2 linked regions of the Pelodiscus sinensis genome follow. The protein of the gene in region 1 interacts with the protein of each later gene in a pairwise test. Links are inferred from orthologs where the notes say so. Each region holds a gene or a part of one and is shown on either strand. Other genes may lie near its edges.

Evidence for each region.
Region 2: the proteins of STK4 (region 1) and SAV1 interact in binary tests that used the Homo sapiens proteins (3 or more experiments, as listed by UniProt). The link is inferred for Pelodiscus sinensis from reciprocal best matches to the Homo sapiens genes STK4 and SAV1.

The regions. Positions count from the first base shown.
Region 1 is NC_134728.1:23,719,427-23,729,439, forward strand, and holds the start of STK4 (serine/threonine-protein kinase 4), read left to right. Parts: upstream 1-5,790; 5' UTR 5,791-5,925; coding exon 5,926-5,957; intron 5,958-10,013. Other genes in the region: TOMM34 (mitochondrial import receptor subunit TOM34), read right to left, coding at 251-350, 2,445-2,565. UniProt on the Homo sapiens protein: Stress-activated, pro-apoptotic kinase which, following caspase-cleavage, enters the nucleus and induces chromatin condensation followed by internucleosomal DNA fragmentation.
Region 2 is NC_134714.1:6,344,424-6,354,472, reverse strand, and holds the start of SAV1 (protein salvador homolog 1), read left to right. Parts: upstream 1-5,645; 5' UTR 5,646-5,735; coding exon 5,736-5,829; intron 5,830-8,560; coding exon 8,561-8,938; intron 8,939-10,049. UniProt on the Homo sapiens protein: Regulator of STK3/MST2 and STK4/MST1 in the Hippo signaling pathway which plays a pivotal role in organ size control and tumor suppression by restricting proliferation and promoting apoptosis.

The sequences.
Region 1 (10,013 bases):
CAGGGTACATATATAGCAAATTCTATATTCAATCCTGTCTCTATCTCTAGATAGAAGATGCTTATTTAACTGCCACTGGGCAGTATGAACCTGGGACCATTAGTGTAGGAGCCTTTACAGCTTGAGCTATAAAGCCAACTGGCTTTCAGCTCAGGCTGTGGAGCTCCCTTGTTCTTATCTCTTGCTGGAAGTGGTCTAAGTGTCACCATGTGCAACAATGAACCACACTAGGTGTGTGGGTTACACTTACACTGAACAGTCCTTAACACAGAGACTACAATTTCCATCTTTCAAGTAGCAGGCAGCTCTGTTTGAATAGAGGACACTTGCTTCTTCAGCATTCCTCTCCCCTAAGAGCAGAGACAGAAAACAAAACAAATCAAATTGTGACGTGCATAACAGTATTCAATAGACCTTAAAGCTACCTCATTTGAGGCAGCCACTTGCTGCAGAAAGCAAGACTCCATGCACCGTGGCAATTACAGGTATTCAAGTCACGGATGGAGAAAGAACAGAGAGGTTTACTGCTGATATCACTATCGGTACTAGCAATAGTACTCAACATTTTTTATCTCCAAAGCATTAGCTAATTAATCCTCAGGCCTCCTGAGAGGCAGAAAAACACTATTTTCCCTGTCCTAAAGATGAAGAGAGAGAGGCAGGCTAAGTGAACTGCCCAACGTAAGGATCAGATTCTAGGCTTGGAGCTTACAACTACCTAGCTGCCAGGCTGTCTCTTTTTCACCTGTCCATAATTCAGTAATTTGGCCTTTTCAATGGTGCAATAGGTAGACACACCATATGGTGGTAGTCAGAGTTAGTGAAACGTCATGGCTTGCAGAAGAGTTTCAAAAAGCACTAGTAACTTTATGGCAGGGTAAGTTTGCGGCCTAAAGACCTGCAGCGGTCTTCCTTTACACTCTTTTACACACGCATGGCAACAAAGTCAAGCTGTATATGTCCATAAAGCTGTTCAGTGTAGGGCACTGGTGGGCAACCTCTGGCCAGAGGGCAACACTTAACCCATTGGGGTTCTATGTGTGGCCTACAAAACACTTTTACTGTTGCCCATCTGCAAGGTTGACAGATTCTGCTGATTTGGCTATGTCTACACTGGCCAGTTTTATTAGAAAATCAGCCGCTTTTCTGGAAAAACTTGCCAGCTGTCTACACTGGCCGCTTGAATTTCCGCAAAAGCACTGACTTCCTACTGTAAGAAATCAGTGCTTCTTGCGGAAATACTATTCTGCTCCCATTCAGGCAAAAGTCCCTTTTGCATAAAGCTTTTGTGCAAAAGCGCCGGTGTGGACAGCTCAGATTTGTTTTCCGCAAAAAAGCCCCGATCGCGAAAATGGTGATCGGGGCTTTTTTGCGGAAAAGTGCGTCTAGATTGGCACGGACGCTTTTCCGCAAAAGTGCTGTTGCAGAAAAACGTGCGTGCCAATCTAGACGCTCTGTTCTGAAAATGCTTTTAACGGAAAAGTTTTCCGTTAAAAGCATTTCCGGAAAATCATGCCAATCTAGACGCAGCCATTTCTGTCTACATAGTTTTTTCCTTTCAGGTATTACTAAAGTGACATGCACTTAAGGCAAGGGCACGTGAAGCGAGGTGCATACTGACTGCACACAACACTGACTGTAAAAGCCATGCGTTCCCTCTGCATCCAATCAAAGCGCCGCTAAGGTTCAGTCGGCACACCAGAAAATTCCAGGCATGCAAGCGTAGTTACCAAAACTACCCTATCCCAGGAGACTGTCTTGGTTACAACAATCATGTGGCCCAGTGAGATGAAGAAGGGCCACTCATGTGGCCCACTCACTAACTTAGGTTGCCCATCTCTGATGTGGGGGTGCAGCCTTGTGGACATTTTGTCACCTAGACTATTAAAGGGACATCCATTTGCTGTCTATATGAAACCATTTTCAAATGGGGGGGGGGGGGGGAGAAGAGTTTATGAACCCTTGCAGTGTCCTAGTGATTTGTGTTTGAATAGCCATGCCTGTAAATACTGGATCGGGCTCAGCTGTGGAGGTCACACTACAGGGATGGTCTCCCTTTCCCCAGCACCTGGTTCAGTGCCTCTACCTACCTCCTGGGGCCCCAGCAGCGGTGTAAGGCACAGGCACGGGGCCATATGCCATCGCTCAAAGGAACGAGCACACGCAGCTCTGCGCCCACGGGAAAGCGGGGGAACGGAGGGGAGCGGGGAGGCTTTAACACCCTCCCCAAGTCCACGGGCCAGGGAAGAGCAGTGATTTTAGGGGAGGGAAAGGCGCTTCCGCCCAGAATGCGGGGGAGGGGCCGTTTTGAACACCAGGGCCCGGGCCCAGGCTGAGGGGAAAGGCGGGTTCAGACCCCGGGCCCCAAGGGGAAGCAGATCCGCGCCCTCCCCCCCCACGGGACACGGCAGCTGCGCCCCCCCGGGGCCCGCCCCCGCCCGTACCTGCCGCCTCCAGCAGCCCCAGCGCCTGGCTGTAGAGCGCGGCCGCCTGGCAGTACTGGCCGCTGCGGAACTGCTCGTTCCCGGCGCGGCGCAGCTCGGACACCCGGCCCGCGCGGGCCATGGAGCTCGGAGAGCGGCAGTCTCCGCTCTAGAGCCTTCTACTGCTTCCTGCCGGCCGGCACCGGCGGCCCCGCCTCCTGCGCCCGGGAGCCCGGCCCCTTCTCCGGAACTGCCCCGGCTGGAGGCTCCGCTCCCCTGGCGCAGGGCGGGGGTCGGTGGTGGGGGAGGGATACACCCCCCCGCCCCGGGCTATCACCCCCCCCCGGTTTCCTAACTCCCCAGCCCCGGGCTATCACCCCCCCAGCTCCCCTAACCCCCAGCCCCGGGCTATCACCCCCCCCCCCCCGGTTTCCTAACTCCCCAGCCCCGGGCTATCACCCCCCCCCCCTCCCAGTTTCCTAACTCCCCAGCCCCGGGCTATCACCCCCCCCCCCGGTTTCCTAACTCCCCAGCCCCGGGCTATCACCCCCCCCCTCCCAGTTTCCTAACTCCCCAGCCCCGGGCTATCACCCCCCCCCCCCGGTTTCCTAACTCCCCAGCCCCGGGCTATCACCCCCCCCTCCCAGTTTCCTAACTCCCCAGCCCCGGGCTATCACCCCCCCCCCCCCGGTTTCCTAACTCCCCAGCCCCGGGCTATCACCCCCCCCAGCTCCCCTAACCCCCCAGTTCTGGGCTATCACCTCCCCCCCAGCTCCCCTAACCCCCAGTTCTGGGCTGTCACCTCCCCCCCAGCTCCCCTAACCCCCAGTTCTGGGCTATCACCCCCCCCCAGTTCCCCTAACCCTCCCCCCCAGTTCCCCTAACCCTAACCCTCCCCCCCAGCTCTCCTAACCCCCAGTTCTGGGCTATCACCTCCCCCCAGCTCCCCTAACCCCCAGTTCTAGGCTATCACCCCCCAGTTCCCCTAACCCTAACCCTCCCCCCCAGCTCTCCTAACCCTCAGTTCTGGGCTATCACTCCCCCCCAGCTCCCCTAACCCCCAGTTCTGGGCTATCACCTCCCCCCCATCTCCCCTAACCCCCAGTTCTGGGCTATCACCCCCCCCCCCAGCTTCCCTAACCCCCAGTTTTGGGCTATCACCCCCCCCAGCTCTCCTAATCCCCAGTTTTGGGCTATCACCCCCCCCCCCCCCCCAGCTCTCCTAATCCCCAGTTCTGGGCTATCACCTCCCCCCCAGCTCCCCTAATCCCCCCAGCTCTGGGCTATCACCCTCACCCCCAGCTCCCTTCAGCAACAGCTCCCCTCATCCCATGTACCCTGAACCCCCAGCTCCGGGTTATCACACACCCTCAACTCCTCTAACCCCCAGCTCCGGGCTATCACCTCAGCCACAGCTCCTTTCACCCCCAGCTCCAGGCTCTCTCTCTCTCTCTCTCTCTCTCTCTCTCACACACACACACACACACACACACCCACCCACCCACCCACCCAACCCAGCTGGACTATTGTGTCTAGTTCTGGACACAATATTTCAGGAAAAATGTGGACAAACTAGGAGCAGATTCAAAGGAGAGTCATAAAAATGATTAAAGGTCTAGAAAACATGACTATGAGGGAATATTTTTTTTAAAAATGGGTTTATTTAGATCAGAGAAGAAGACTCAGCAAGGATACGATAAAAGTTTTCAAGTACATAAAAGGTTGTTACAAGAAAGAGGAATAAAAATTGTTCTCTTTAACCTTTGAGGATAGGACTAAAAGCAAAGAGCTTAAATTACAGCAAGGGCATTTTGAGTTGGACATTAGGAAAACCTTCCTATCAGGGTGGTTAAGCACTGTAATGAATTGCCTAGCAAGGTTATGGAATCTCCATCACTGGAGATTTTAAAGAGCAGGTTACACAAACACCTGTCAGTGATGATATAGATAAGACTTAGTACTACCAGGAGTACAGGAAACTTAGGAACTATGGCCACTAGGGGCAGAGAAGTCTGTGCATGAGGATGCGCAACATAAACAAATTGTCTCAGGGCCCTAATATGCTGTGTGCCAAAAGTTGCTAACCCCTGGATAAAAGGAAAGGAGAACAGAGAATACATCTCTCTTCTGATTCCCTCTTCTGCTAATAACAGGGGGGAGCTCCCATTTCTCCTGGGATGACACGGTAAGTCTTCCTCTTCCTCTTGCAATTAGCTTTAGCTTCTGGAGCTAGTGTTGATGAACTATGCCAAGTTCTTGAGTGAATAACTGATCATCTTCTCCAGTGGCAGCTTGGAGCACATTCAACCCAGTGGGACAGCCTGTATTAATTTTGTTTTAATGGCTTGTTGGAGAGTTGGTGGCTCCTCCATGGGGACATGGTCCCAAATATGTCCCTAATGCAGTTCATGACTCCCCTGACATCTGTCATCTCTGCAGCCAGAGGGAGACTTAGCTACGGTACATCATATTGTAGCCCCTTTTACAGCTTCTCTAGAACCCCTTATTGAGATTCTAGCTCCACTTCTCTCCTCGCCTCATTTATGCACAACCCATCTCCTGAATCCACAGAGTTGCCAGTGTCAACTGTGTCCTGGTGCTGGCCATCCATCACAACCATAAGGAGGAAGCTGGTTGGTGCTGTGCAACTGAAATACCTATTTTCTGATCTCTCATTAAGTCATACCTGCAAGCAGAGGTTCCTGTGGGCTGCACCCACTGACTCCTTAGACACCTGTAAGGAGAAGTAGGTGCTGTTAAGAGTTCTTTGCTCAGGCTGCTCTTCCAGTGTCCTGGTTTTTAACCTTTAACCATATTTCCTGTCTTCCTTTTTTTTCATGTGATGTCCTCAAATTTTACATGAGTTTTATGGCCCCCTCCCAACTGGTTGAGGGCCATTTGCTTTGGGCAGGCTGTTGTCCTCTGCCCCACATTAACCATAACAGGTTGGAGGCTTGGAGCACACTCAGGAGAGGGTTGACTGAGTAGGAAAGCAGAGGTCCAGGAAGCTGCTGGGCTGCTTCCAACTCCCAGAGCAGAGTCCCAAAGGATGAGAGTAGTTTCTAGGGCAAAGACCAAGGGGCTTTGGCGCCTGGGTTGTGGGCTTCAAAATCACTGCTTAGTGCAATCAGGGAGATATTTATTTGCTCGGAATATTTAAATGTATGCAAAAATAGGTGGAAGCGGTGAGGCTGCTGGGAAATCGCTGCTTCACCCCTCAGCACACACCCTGCCTTAGGAGGTGACGTTGAGCCAACGCGCGAGGGAACTGCCCGCCCCTTCTGAGTGAGGAGGGGCGGAGCCAGTGGAAGGACCACGCCCCGGGGAGGTGGGCGGCGCAGCAGCTTCTATGAGCCCATTTGACTGGGAGCCCGCCCCTTGTTTCCGGCGTATGGAGAGGAGGCGGAAGTGAAGCGGAAGCGCCGTTGGAAAAGCGCCGGGAGTGAGCGGCTGGAGTCATGGAGGAATGAGTGCGTGCCCTCCCCTGCTTCGCTAGGGTGCCATGGAGACCGTGCAGCTGCGCAACCCGCGCCGGTGAGGGGCCGGGGCTTGGGGTGTCGGGACCTGGCCTGGGTAGGGAGAGGCTGGAGGGCATGAGGGAGGTGGGTCGATCTGGGGGATGAGGAGGGAGTGGGTCGGTCTGGGAGAGCCTGGAGATGAGGGGGGGGGTAGCTCTGGCGGATGGTGGGGGGGGGATGGGAAAAGTGGGTCAGTCCCGGGGCTGGGCAGAGTGGTGGGTCCGTCTGCGGAAGGCTGGGGGAGATCAGAGAGGTGGGTCGATCTGGGGGCGAGGGGGATTGGTCTAGGGCAGGCTGGAGATGAGAGAGGTGGGTCGATCTGGGGGTGAGGGGGATTGGTCTAGGGCAGGCTGGTGATGAGAGAGGTGGGTCGATCTGGGAGACGGGGAGGGGAGGTGGGTCCATCTGGTGGTCAGGGGAGGGTGGGTGTGGGCAATGTAAATACAAAAATCTTCCCACTGAAAGGTTAAATCCTCTAAAAATCAGGCAATATTCATAGGTGACTCATCCCAGCTTTTCTCAGGGAGAGCAGGGACCCGTGGGATGGGTGACATAGCAACAAGCATCACAGGACTCTTCTCCACAGGCTAAAAATCTACTCAGCATGTGTCACTACAGCTTCACTAGTATTGGTGCATGACTCTACTGCAGTGGGAGTGTTAGAAATTCATCGAGAAGGGATTAAAAAAACAACTGAACGGAAATAAATGTAATGTGTAGAAAGCCCACATGTAATAATTACATGGATAAATGATAAAGGGCTGAGGTTATTAAATACATGGCAGAGCAATACACTTTGCATACATTAGGGATATTAAATTGTGTTCAGTCAGCTAATCAAGTAGTTGGTGTAATTTCTATTGACTACTCGATTAGTCAATAAAGGGGGCGGTTCTTAATAAATTTAAAAGGCAGAAGAAGTATAGCCAGGGGACTGGGCATGAGCCAGGAATCAGCTGAACCTGGTGGCTCTTACTACATTTAAAAAGGAGAGGTGCAGCATCAGAGACTGGGCATGAGCCAGGAATCATGAGCCAGCTCCTTCCAGCACCGGCCCCTGCTTTCCCCCCCTTGCTAACTCTCTTTGATAGAGGCAACAGATGGGAGGAAGCAACTACTCTAGTCACTATTTGACTACCTGATAAGCAGGGCTCGACAAATAATGCAATCTACTTGCCCATGGCGAGTAGATTACAACCTGGAAGAGCCGGGTTTGGGCGATCTGCGCATGCGCTGATCGACAGAGAGCGCGGCTGGTGAGCCCTGCTGATAAGCATATGCAAATTTTGGAGTAGCAAATTCTAATCTTTTCTTCTAAGGTAAAACTTGCAGCATCCAGAGCAAGGTGTAGGAGTTTGTTCATTACATACCTGGGGGAAGAGGTGCCTATTTTTTTCAAGTAGGCTATATGTGGTTTAAAAATGAACAATTATGGTTGAGTTTTGTTGGGCCAAAGACCAGCACTACTGATGTCTACTAAAATGTTGGCGTCACAATTTCCAATCTTCAGTGCCATTGTGTTTTAATAAAATACCCTCCAAATTATCCTTTTCTTAAAGAGTGATTAGATACATTTAACAGTAAACATGGGTTCCATCAATTTGCTAAGGCTAGTAACAGCATTGTTTTAGGAACCTTAGTGAAACCATAAGTCATAGAAATCTAAGAATAGGTTGAAGCTGTGAGATACTTCAAGACTTTTCAGTAGGTTAAATATTACACAGGAAAGATGCAACCTAGAGTAATTGCATGCTACTTAATGTAAATATAGTAAGCAAAACATAAGAATGGATATACTGGGTGAGACCAAAGGTTCATCTAGCCCAGTATCTTGACTTCTGATGGGCCAATGCCAGTTCTACTGAGGGAATGAACAGAACAGGTAATCCTCAAGTAACGGATCCCATTGTCCATTCCCAGCTTCTGGCAAACAGAGGTTAAGGACACCATCCCTAGCAGACTGGAGATCTGATAATATATTATTTGTAATCTTAGGGGAAAAAAGCCATATGCCTTTCAGCAATTATTCTTCTATATACGGCACTTATTTTATGACCATCAAAGATGAATGTTAAAATTATGACTATGTTCAGGATGAAAGAAGATTCAGAAGGCTTGTCTTGCGGCATTTATGGTCTAGACAACTGAAAATACAATGGGAGGCCCAAAGAAATGTTCTATAACACCTTTTAAGAATATTTTTACTGTACAGGCAGTCCCCGGGTTACGTACAAGATAGGGACTGTAGGTTTGTTCTTAAGTTGAATTTGTATGTAAGTCGGAACTGGTACATATTGTAGGGGAAACTCTAGCCAAACATTTCTCCAGAGCTCAGTTTTATTCTCCCACACCTCACTTCCCTCAGTCCTTTATTCTCAAGCTGAGGTGTCTGCTAAGAAAAGCCGCTCCGTGTCTCCCTGGTCTGCTGGGGGGGGGGGGCACTAGCTTCGTGTCTCCCTGGTCTGCTAGGGAGAAGCAGCTAGTGCGGGGTTGCCTCACCCCGTTTGTAAGTAGGGATCCGATGTAAGTCGGATCCATGTAACCCGGGGACTGTCTGTAGTTATAAGATAACAAATCAAAATATCTCTGATATACAAGATATTGAGAAACAATTAATAAAAGCTGACTACAGTATATAATAAAGCAAAGAAAAACTGGAATAAACTTATTGTACCTCTTTACTGTAATACAGTAGGAAAGACTTCACTGGCTGGGATACTGTTTGTCTGTCTGATGTTCCATGCAAAAGCAAAAAACCTGAAATTAGGAGAGTATGGTGATTGGAGTTGCTAAATTATTTAATTGAAGGAAACAAGACAGGGGACTTCCCCTTGGTGATAAATTGTGTGCTACACAGTGAAATATGGCTATGTCTGTTCTGTTGGTTAGTTCCAAGTACATTTCAGTCTGTTTCTGTGCATCCTGAAACAGAATATTTCTGGGCCTTTATACATCAAGTCTGTCAAGTGCTAATGACTTAGGGTATGTCTACACTGCAAGGCTATTTCAGAATACCAGAGGTATCCCGAAATAGCTACCCTGCATCTTTTGAACATGTTTGCTATTGCAAAATATAGCAGATGTGCTATTTTGGCATCCCTGTAAACCTCGTTGCATGAGGGATAAGGGATGTTTCAAAATAGTGTGTTATTTCGAAAAAGAATTGAAATAAGTTACACAATTTGCGTAGTGCAAATTGTGTATCTTATTTCGAGCTAAGGGTGTAGTATAGATGCACCCTTAGAGACTCTCATCTCTTTAGGGCTGTAGAACATGAATAACCGATATGTGGATGCTTATCGGTTAATGCTATCAGCTACACACAATTCTCCCCCCCCCCCCCACCTCTGTGTGTCTGCATTTAAAGGATTTTGAGATCTGGCACCCAGTCAGGCTGGCTCAGTCGTGGCTTGCGCCGAGTCCCAGCAGCTATCTCGGCTGCAGCTCAGCAGTTCAAGTATTTTGGGAGATACTTTAAATGCACAGCTGCAGTGGGGGTAGCTGCTGGGACCTGATGCAAGCCAGGACTAAGCCAGCCTGACTGCATGCCAGCTCTCAAAATCCTTTAAATGCAGAGACACAAGAGTCTTAATTGTGTAACCAACAAAAATTTTTGTCAGCTACACGGTTACCGAATTACATGCTCCCCAACATCCCTAGTCTCTTTAAGGGAGTACCTGGAGCATTTTGTTATATACTCACTCACTCTCTCATATCTTTCATAACTGCCAAATCTTATCTGACACTTGGGAAATTTGGCTTCCTAATGAATAAGCACTTAGGGCACATCTACACAGCAGGGCTAAAGCTGAAATAAGCTATGCAACTTGAGCTACGTCAATTGCGTAGCTGAAGTTGAAATGCTTATTTCGGCTTTTGGCGCTGTCTACGCAGCAGGAAGTCTGTGAAAAAGCACTCTTCCTTCGACTTGCCTTCCTCCTCGTAAAATGAAGGTTACAGAAGTCAGAGTAAGAAGTCCCCCAGCTTGACATTATTTTGACATTGTGCAAATAGCTGCTTGTAGTGTAGACACAGACTATATTATTTCAGAATAATGTCAGTTATTCCGAAA
Region 2 (10,049 bases), on another chromosome or scaffold:
AGTGAAATGTTTGTCCGATTACTTGCATACGCTTCCTTGCATAGTGTGCATTTGAGCCATGAAATATTAGGCATGTATAGTCCCCAATGCTTGAAAATAAAGGTTGAAGCTTGTTTACACCCTATAGGCCTTCTAAGTATGCCAGTCTTCAACAGCAAACTAATATAAGATCAACTAAACGTGAAGTACTGGGCCTACAGTCAAAACAATGGCTACGTCTAGACTGGCCCCTATTACGGAATAGGGATGCAAAGCAGGCAAGTCAGAATAGGGAAATCCGCAGGGGATTTAAATATCCCCCGCGGGATTTAAATAAACATGGCCGCCGCTTTTTTTCCGGCTTGGGGAAAAGCCGGAAAAGAGCGTCTAGACTGTAGGAATAAGAGATCCTTCGGATTCGAAGTAGGAATAAGAGATCCTCCGGAAAAGGGCTTTATTCCGGAGTATCGCGCCAGTCTAGACGCTCTTTTCCGGCTTTTCCCCAAGCCGGAAAAAAAGCGGCGGCCATGTTTATTTAAATCCCGCGGGGGATATTTAAATCCTCTGCGGATTTCCCTATTCTGACTTGCCTGCTTTGCATCCCTATTCCATAATAGGGGCCAGTCTAGACGTAGCCAATGGGTCTTGCCAATTCAAAGATGATACTACAATGTTTCAAAAAATACTATCAATTCTTTCCTACACCATACTATGTGAATCGCTGTGAAAATGAGAAGTTTTGGGGTTGTGAGGTTTTTTGGGTGGGGAATTGTATATGAATTCATTCCAAACAACTTGAGGGATTGTGTTATATCTGCACAGTTAAAGAGTGGTGTGTCTGTTTGCATTGGTAAAAGGATAAAAGGTTAATTTAGCACCCTTTCCTCACTCAGTTGCAGCTGAATTTCAATTCAGAGAGGGATTTTTTTTATTTTTGTCTGAGCAAAAAGATTGCAACCCAACTGACATTTGCCATGTATGGATGTTGTATAAAATGGTTTAAGGGAACAGTTTGCGTTGGTAAATCTAAAGCAAAGGACATCATTGTCACAACTGCATTCTGTTGCTTTGCTGCCGTTCAGAATAGCTTCTGTTCCCACTAAATGTCAAATGCTGTAATTAGTGATAATTAACGTATGTAAAGATGAAGACCAGTGGGTATATTTTTATTATATCATAGAACTGGAAAAAAATTCAAGAGGTCAAGTCCAGTTCCCTATAATATACAGGTAGAACTTCTCTAGTCTGGCATACTTGGGACCTGACCAGTGCTGAACCAGAGAATTTGCCAGACCACAGGAGGTCAGTATTGTCTACCTGCATTATCAACACACCCTCTGCTTACTGGGCTCTTAGAAGACATTCAGGGGTAAATTAGAGCTAAAGAACAGCACCGAACACTGAGAGCCAGGCCTGGTGGCTGTAAATAAACTTTATGGGACCATGGGAAACTTCACCCCATAAGTGGACATCGGGCTAACTAAAATGATGCTGGACCACAGATGTTGCAGGACCAGAGTTCCAGACTAGAGAGGTTCCACGTGTACTGTATTACATCAGTTGTCTTTATACCATCATGTAAAACAGAAAGACAAACCAAAATGGTTTATATGGACATTAAAAATATAAATTACTGTACTCATTACTTGCTTTTGGTTTTTTTCTTGCATGAAAATGAGTATTTTGTCGTGGAGACCAATTGCACTATTCACTTGTAATTCATATGCATTTACTAATCCAAGCTAAATTTTAAACTGAATAAAATAGTAATAAACTGACAGGTTTGCAATTAATGATAAAAACATTATGAATTTTCCATTATGGAAAAAGATACACCAATTTAGGGAGCAAAAAGTGAATTAATAATGAACCTACCTCGAAATATTTTTACTTTTAGCCTGTTTTCATTCTCCATTGTTTTCCCTCTTAATCATTGTTACAAGTAAATACTCTTATTGAAAGACTAATCTTTAATCCATAATTAGATTGCATTGCTATAGAGAAAAATGTTTAAATAGATTTTAGGATTAAATTTCCCTCATGTTTTGTTCGTGTATATGTAACCCACCCACCTACTGGGTGTGGTTCACTGTCACATGTAGTGGCACTTAAACCACTTAAAGAAAGAGAACAATGATTCTTCTCTACAACCTTAGCTGCGCCAACTGGCTTTCAGCTCAAGCGGTAGAGCAGGGCTGGGGAACCTCAGGCCCGGGGGCTGGATGTGGCTCCCGGCTTGCCTGGAGCCGGCCCCCGAGGCTCAGGGTCTCCCCCAGCATTGGGGAGCCTGCGCTGGTACTCCAGCTCCTCTGTTGTTCCACCGCAGGGCTGGAGCACACAAAATCTACTAGGCTGGTCCGTCCCCCACCCAGGCTCTGGTGTGTGAGGGGAACATGAGGAGTCTCTCTCCTCAGTCGGGGCCACGTTTGTTTGTGTTGAGGTTTTTTTTGCTTCTCACTTGTGTGCGGCCCCCAACTCATTTTTCTGTGGGTCAGTGGCCCCCGACCCAAGAAAGGTTCCCCACCCCTGCAGTAGAGGCTTATGCACTAAGCTCCTGAGGTCCCAGGTATGGCATATAACTTCAAATATGCTTTTCTGTTGGTAATAAATTAGAGAATGCTCACTAATTTGCACTGCTGAAGGGTTGGTTTCTCTGCCATTTTTGATGCTAGTGTGCTGCAACCTCTGCCTATAATACGGACCAGATCTTGTCTCTGTTCCTTGTGCTTTCCTGGCAGTATCCATTTGTTGTCCCTTGTCTTCCACTTCGATTGTAATCTCCTTGGGGCAGGGAGTGATAGTTGTGTGCATGTCCAGCACCAAGCACAATGGAGTCCTCGTTGCTGCAGTGATAAAAACGTGCAGTTTACACACCTCCACTAGCTTTGCAACGTGCTCATCCATTATCCTACTGGCTCTTTCTTTTCAGTCAGGGCAAGTGTTCACGTGAGACACCTGCTAGGCAACTGGCCCACCAGGAATCTAACACAGGCTGGAGAATGAGAACAAGCCTGTGGGGGTAAAATTCACCTTCTGAGGGAGTTTGTTGCAACCCCTTTCAGAATAGAAGGTGACCAGCCCTTCAAAGGGAACAAAAGATGGGTGGCCCAAGACCAAGGGTGGGGAACCTAAGGCCCAGGGACTGGATGCAGCCCCTAACTTGCCTGAATCCGGCCCCTGAGACCTGGGGATCTTTCCTAGCATTGGGGAGCCCACGCTGGCACTCCAGCCTCCCCACTGTTCCCCCTTGGGGCTGGAGCACACAATCTACTATCCTGCCCTTCCCCTCCCCCCCAGGCTCTGAGGTGTGAGGGGAATGTGGGGAGTGTCTTTCTCCTCCTCAGCTGAGGGCCACATCAGTGAGGGTTTGAGTTATTTGCTTCTCACTTGTGTGCAGCCCCCAACTGATTTTTTTTCTGTAGATCAGGGGCCCCCCTCTCCCCTACAAATCTTCTTCCTAGGCCCAGCTCTTAGGCCTTATGCCTGGCCAACACCATAAGGGGGGGGGTGATCTGACATACAATGTATATCCTGTGTGTTCCCTTCCTGCGTCCTCCTGCCCTTGGGCCTCATCTTGGGTGTGTCTACACAGCAAAGTTATTTCGGAATAACGGCCGTTATTCTGAAATAACTATGTGAGCATCTACACAGCAATGCCGTTATTTTGAAAAAATGGACGGTTTATTCTGACTTCCGTAAACCTCATTCTACGAAGAATAATGCCTATTTCAAAAGAAGGTGTGTGTAGACGCGCCTCTCCTGCTATTTCGAAATAGCCCCTCACCAGGGCCCTTCTAAGTTATTCTTCCTGAGGCTGTAAAGTGAGAGAGGCTTCCCTAATGTTGACGTGCTATCTCGGACTACTTTTGAGGCTTCCCTGCAGTCTAGACAAGCTATTTCAAAATAAGCTATTTCGGAATAGCTTATTCTGAAATAACTGTGCAGTGTAGACGTAGCCTTTAGGTTCGTTCTTGTCCCCTTATGTCTTCCAGTCTCTTTCTCCTGCCCCGTCACTCTTGTCTGTTCTCATTCCTGGCCCTTCATGTCCCCTCGTCTTTTCCCCCTCCTAACCCTTTTCTGGGCCTTTTCTAGGCCTCTTGTGTCTTCCAGCCTAATGTGGGCCTGTTCCTGCCCTCTTTTGCCTCCCAGCCGCCTTCATGTCTCCCTGGACTGAACCCATTTCTGCTCCCATCTTGTGTCCTGGTCTCTTCTCCTCCCTGCCCCACCCCAGCTTTCATGAGCGGCTAGGCCTGCCCACCAACCTCAACTGTCCCAGGGAGGCCCCTTATGGCTGGGGATAGCCCTGACTGCTGGCTGAAATGAAGGGGGCTGCCTTGGCCTTAGACCTGTCCTGCCCGTTTTAAGGTGGCTGGCCTTCTGAACCCTGCAGAAGGTGCCATTTCAGATTCTGGTAGGAGATGGCAACTTTAACTGCAATTCCAGGGGCTACTTGGGCATATGAAAGTGACAGATTTTTTTTTTTTGTAGACTAACTTAGAAAGTAGCTGACAGGACCACTACCTCTAATTCCAATGTAAAGAAAAAATGTTTCATATTAGACCCATTCAGGTCTAATAGTAACATGTTCTGACATCATGTGTCATGTCACTTGAGAGACACTGGTTAGGCTTAAAATTGTAAAGTGTACTCTTACTTTTGAATACAACAATTGTAGAAAAATCTAGATTCCCTAACCAACTAGGTGCTTTTGAAAATTGCTGCTTGGGCAATCCTGTGTCCATGAGTAGCCCAAATTCCTGCCGCCTCCTTTCCCCTGCCCAGGACAGGTGATGTGTCCATGGCTCCCTACAGCTTCCAGCCCGTGACAGTGCATTGGAGCATGGCCCGGCTGGTCAGAACCACTCAGGTAACTGGGAAGCCACAGACCATCCACCTGCCTTGAGTGATGGGGATGAGGCGATGGGCTGCTCTTGGGCATAGTGTTGCCAACTTCCTAAGGACACGAACCTTAGCACACCTTTGTCCTGCTCTGGCCCCATCCTCTTAATCCATCCCCCTGCCCCTCCCTCACTGGGGCAGCAGGTGGGAATGTGGGAGGGGGTGAGAGCTGAGGGTGTGGGATCCCAGGCCAGGGGTGAGGGAGTGGAGCTGCAGGAGAGGGCTAGTGCCGGGGGAGGGGCTTGGGGTGCACGGTTGTGTGGGCTCTGGGGAGGGGGGCACGGGAGGGAGTGCGGGGTCAGGGCAGTGCTCACATGAAGCGGTGCTATTGGCCCGGGAGCCTGCGTGCCCGGCCTGCGCCCGCACACGTGGCCCCTGTGGCTCCCCTTAGTTGTGGCTCCCGGCCAATGGGAGCTGTGGAGCCGGTGCTGGGGGGGGAGCTGGGCGGAGCCAGAGCTGGGGGGGGAGCTGGGCGGAGCCAGAGCTGGGGGGGGAGTGGGGCGGAGCCAGAGCTGGGGGGGGAACCTGCCTTTGCCCCCGGCTTTGAGCTGCCCGCTCCATAGAGCCTGCTGCTCAGGCCCTAGGAGGCTGCCTGGACTAGAATGGCCCCTGCCCCCCCATAGTGGGGGGGGGGCTACAGGCTCCTCCCCCTCCTCCAGGAAAGCCCCGCCCCTCCCTCCCTGTCACGGGGTAAGGGGTGGAGCCAGGGGCAGACCCCGCCCCTCCGCTGCGTCCTCCCCGCCGCAGGGGGCGCTGCCGCGGAGCGAGGCGGGCGCTGCCGGTGTCCCAGCAGGCAGCGCGCGGCGGAGCGGCCCCATGGAGGCGGGCCATGCGGGCGGGCGCGGCGCGCGGCGGGGATGCTGTCCCGGAAGAAGACGCGCGCGGAGCTCGCCAAGCCCGGCGAGGTGCAGGGCAAGTACGTCAAGAAGGAGACCAGCCCGCTGCTGCGCAGTGAGTGCCCGGCCCGCGCCCGGGGGGGCGCTCTCCGCGGGGGGGGTTGCGGGAGCGGGGGGGTGTGGCCCCCTGGATGGGGGGGAGCCGGGGAGGTGGCTCCCGGGGGGGGGGGGTTGCGGGAGCCGGGGGGTGTGTGGCCCCCAGGATGGGGGGGGTTGTGGGAGCCGTGGGGGGGGGTGACCCCCAGGATGGGGGGGGTTGTGGGAGCCGTGGGGGGGGTGGCCCCCAGGATGGGGGGGTTGTGGGAGCCGTGGGGGGGGGTGGCCCCCAGGATGGGGGGGGTTGTGGGAGCCGTGGGGGGGGGGTGGCCCCCAGGATGGGGGGGGTTGTGGGAGCCGTGGGGGGGGGTGGCCCCCAGGATGGGGAGGGTTGTGGGAGCCGTGGGGGGGGGGTGGCCCCCAGGATGGGGGGGGTTGTGGGAGCCGTGGGGGGGGGTGGCCCCCAGGATGGGGGGGGTTGTGGGAGCCGTGGGGGGGGTGGCCCCCAGGATGGGGGGGGTTGCGGGAGCCGTGGGGGGGGTGGCCCCCAGGATGGGGGGGGTTGTGGGAGCCGTGGGGGGGGGTGGCTCCCGAGGGTGGGAGTTGCGGGAGCCGGGGGGTGTGTGGCCCCCTGGATAGGGGGGTTGTGGGAGCCGGGGGGGGGGAGTAGCCACCAGGAGGGGGGCTTGCAGGAGCCGGAGGGGAGCGGCCTCGGGGGGGGGGGGGGGGGAGCATCTGCAGTTTTTATCTCAAGTTGGTGGCTCGGCAAGGTCAGTGCTAGATTCCTCCCCCTGCGGTTCTATCTCATGGTTCCACCTCTACTAGATTTTGTGGCAGGCTGGATAATGTAGATTGGTTAACCCATGGTAAAAACACATCTTTTTTAGCAGTGTACACAAAGCCTAAATGTGACAGCGGTGCATCATATTGTTTGAAGAGTTACCTTTGCAACTGCAAGATCTGCAAACGTACTATTGGAAAATGATCTTTGCATGTTTAGGTTGTGCTCCTTGGGTGTTGATACAGAGGCATCAGTACAGGGTGGCAGGTGGGGATAACCATATAACCACTGACATTTTCAGTGGTTACATGATTACTTAACTAAACACATTTTAACATCCTTAATCTGAACCAGAATAGCCTTTAGTGTCCATGTTTTATGGCAGTTTCCTTAAAGCTGAGGTGTTAAATGCCATGATATTAATGTAACACTATGGTTAATAAATTAAGCATTGTGATTTACAGGGTTGCTAGTTAGGCCCTGTGATATAGCAGGGGTGGCCAGATTGCAGATCGCAAACTGCATGTGGTTGACACAGTTAAAGTGCAGCTTTCAGAACCCTCTCATTTCACCCCCCCCCCCCCCCCCATTTTCTGCCTGTCAAGCTGGAGGAGGGAAGCTCATCTTTTCTGCCCTGCAATGGAGTGGTGGGGCTAGGGCTGCTTCTTCCCCGGTGTGGAGGTGTCTTGGGGCTTCAGCCTTGTGGGAGGTGCATGCCAGGTCTCGGGCTTGAGCTGGATCAGGGCTTGAGCCCCAGAGGATCCTCCCCACAAGGCACACTTCTGCAGATTGTAATACTAGGCTCAGGTCAGTAAGTTTGACCACCTCTGTTATATACATACTGTAAAATATCAATACTGTTATATACGTGCAGTAAAATATTCCAGGCTTCTGGTGAAACAGTGGGCAAGTTGCTTACATACTCACAGTAACTACATAAATACAGATTTCATGATAGGGCACATGATTGGAAGTTGAGATTTGAGTTCCGAAATCTGTGCTGCTCTTTTTCCTCTCATCTTTGGCCTATCTTGTGAATTGAGATTGTAAACACTTCTGAGCAAGAGCTGCCTCTTGTAATAGCATATAGTGCTTAGCATAACTGGGCTTCAGGCTTAGGTTCCTTCGAAGCTACTGAAATACAAATAATTTGTATGTTGCATTTGTATCTAGAGACACTGTTGTGCTAGTCACTACAGGAACCAACTAAAAACCTCTCCTCTAAAGAACTTAGAATCTAATCAACTCTTTATCCACATTTTATGGACTGAGACATGTTCCTTAGATGACCGTTGTGAGGTTTAATATGAGATGATCTGAGATAGCGAAATGAAAAAGCAAGGTGAGCTAGGGCTCTGAGAACTCCTTCAGCTATTAAGCTGGTGGGTTCTTACTCACCTGCTCCAGATCTAACTGATCACTATATGGGAGGTGAAGAAATAATTTTATCTTCCATCAGGTTGGTGGTGACCTTGAAGACTTTCATCTTCCTTTGTAGTGTGGAGTGCAAGTCACGGCCTTGGGCACTGGTGCCCTTTGGTCCTTGCTGTTCTGTATGTTGGATCTAGTGTGCATGTGGCTGCAATGTATACATGGCCTGTGATACATCTGAGGTCAGACTAGTAGTTTATCTGAGGGTCTCTTCTAGCCTTAAACTCTGACTCTGCATGTTTGTTTCATATTAAACATGTTCTTAAAGCATGTTTTATAATGTACATTTGTTGAAAATGGCTGAGTTAATGTTACTTTGAAAACTTTAGCTTTGCATTTCCTGGCTTCTACAATTAGTGTACCTATTTTGCTCTTAATTGGGATATTTGTGGTAGTAAAGTTTGTATTAAATGACACATTAAGTAGTCCTGTGACACCACAGTCTCTTAAGGTTTCACAGGACTACTCGTTTTTAAAGTTACAGGCTAACATGGCTACCCCCTGAGACTTGTTAAATTATAATGTTTTACTCTTACAGATCTGATGCCTTCATTTATCCGTCATGGTCCAACCATTCCAAGGCGTACTGATATCTGCCTTCCTGACTCAAGTTCTTCTGCCTACTCTCCTGGTGGAGATGGAATAGTTTCTAGAAACCAAAGTTTCCTTAGAACTCCAGTTCAGAGGCCACCTCATGAAATATTGAGGCGAGAAAGCAATAGACTATCTGCGCCTTCCTATCCTGCAAGACAGTTGGCAACAGTTACTGAAAATGGAGATGCTGGTTACCCCTATTATTACGAGAGTCAAAGGAGGCATCAGCTAAGTGAGCGTGTACATGAGGACTGCAGATGCTATGGACACAACAATGATCTCTTCCAAAGGATGTCACAGAATCAAGGGAGGCACACATCAGGCAAGTGTTTATTTTAAAAAATACTTGGGAAGTATTTCTTAATGATGCCCCAGTCATGTTTTTCTGTTAGTATTGCATTATATATTCTAGTTCTCCTATTTATAATTACATTTCTGAAACTGTTTGTTTATGCTTAAGTTATGCTTAAGTTTATGGTGACCATGAAATAGGCCTGCATATCTTTTTGGAAAGCGAAGAGAAATGCACACACAAAAAAAAGGGTCAGACTTTTTTTTAAAGGGGACTTTATAGGATAAATTTTTAATATTAAACTTATTAACTTCCTTGGCAGAATTGTGGAATCATGTGTTCGGCCCAACTTAAGTTTAACAGATATATTTGTAAAAAATTACAATATTAAACGAAGTATACCATTTTCCAGAAGCCACCGAGCCTTTATTTCTTTATGTACTTCTGAATTTTAAAAGTAATTTTTAAGTATCATTTATTTAATATGTACTATCCTACTATTAAGTGACCTATTTTTTCCCCTACAATTTCAAGAGCTAAAAAGAATACTGCATTTTAATTGAGTGCCAAATGGAAGCCCAAGTGAGTGGTATTCTCTCATGGATTATGAAGTACTCGTCCCCTTACATTATGACTAGCTCACTCAAAAAAATGAGATAAAACTGTCACAATTAATTTTGGGATACTTGCACATTTTAGTCCCATTTGTTAAAATGTAATGAAAATTTATATTAATCTGCACTTTTAAAATACATCATTGTGGGAACATCATAGCCATTAGATGGCTTCCTTTTGCCAACTTGCACCATTAAATATTTTTAGAATAACTGACAGGCATAAATTGTGTAGTTTTGTGGTATTTGATATCAGACTGTTCATAAACAAGAGGGACGATACAATGATTTGTATAATCAAAACTTAAATGGTATTACAGCATGGTAATTCTAGATTTCTTTTTGGCTCTTCATTTTTTTTTCTGTCTTCCTGTATACATTTTTTAAAAAGAAATTGCCCATCTGTTTCCTTCTCTTTAAGTGGAACATATTTTCTTCATCCAATAAAACAACAGTATAAAAGGAGAGGCAATCCAGAATGTTTATTAATGCATGCTTTGGCATCCCTGAATATTTTTGTGTGATGT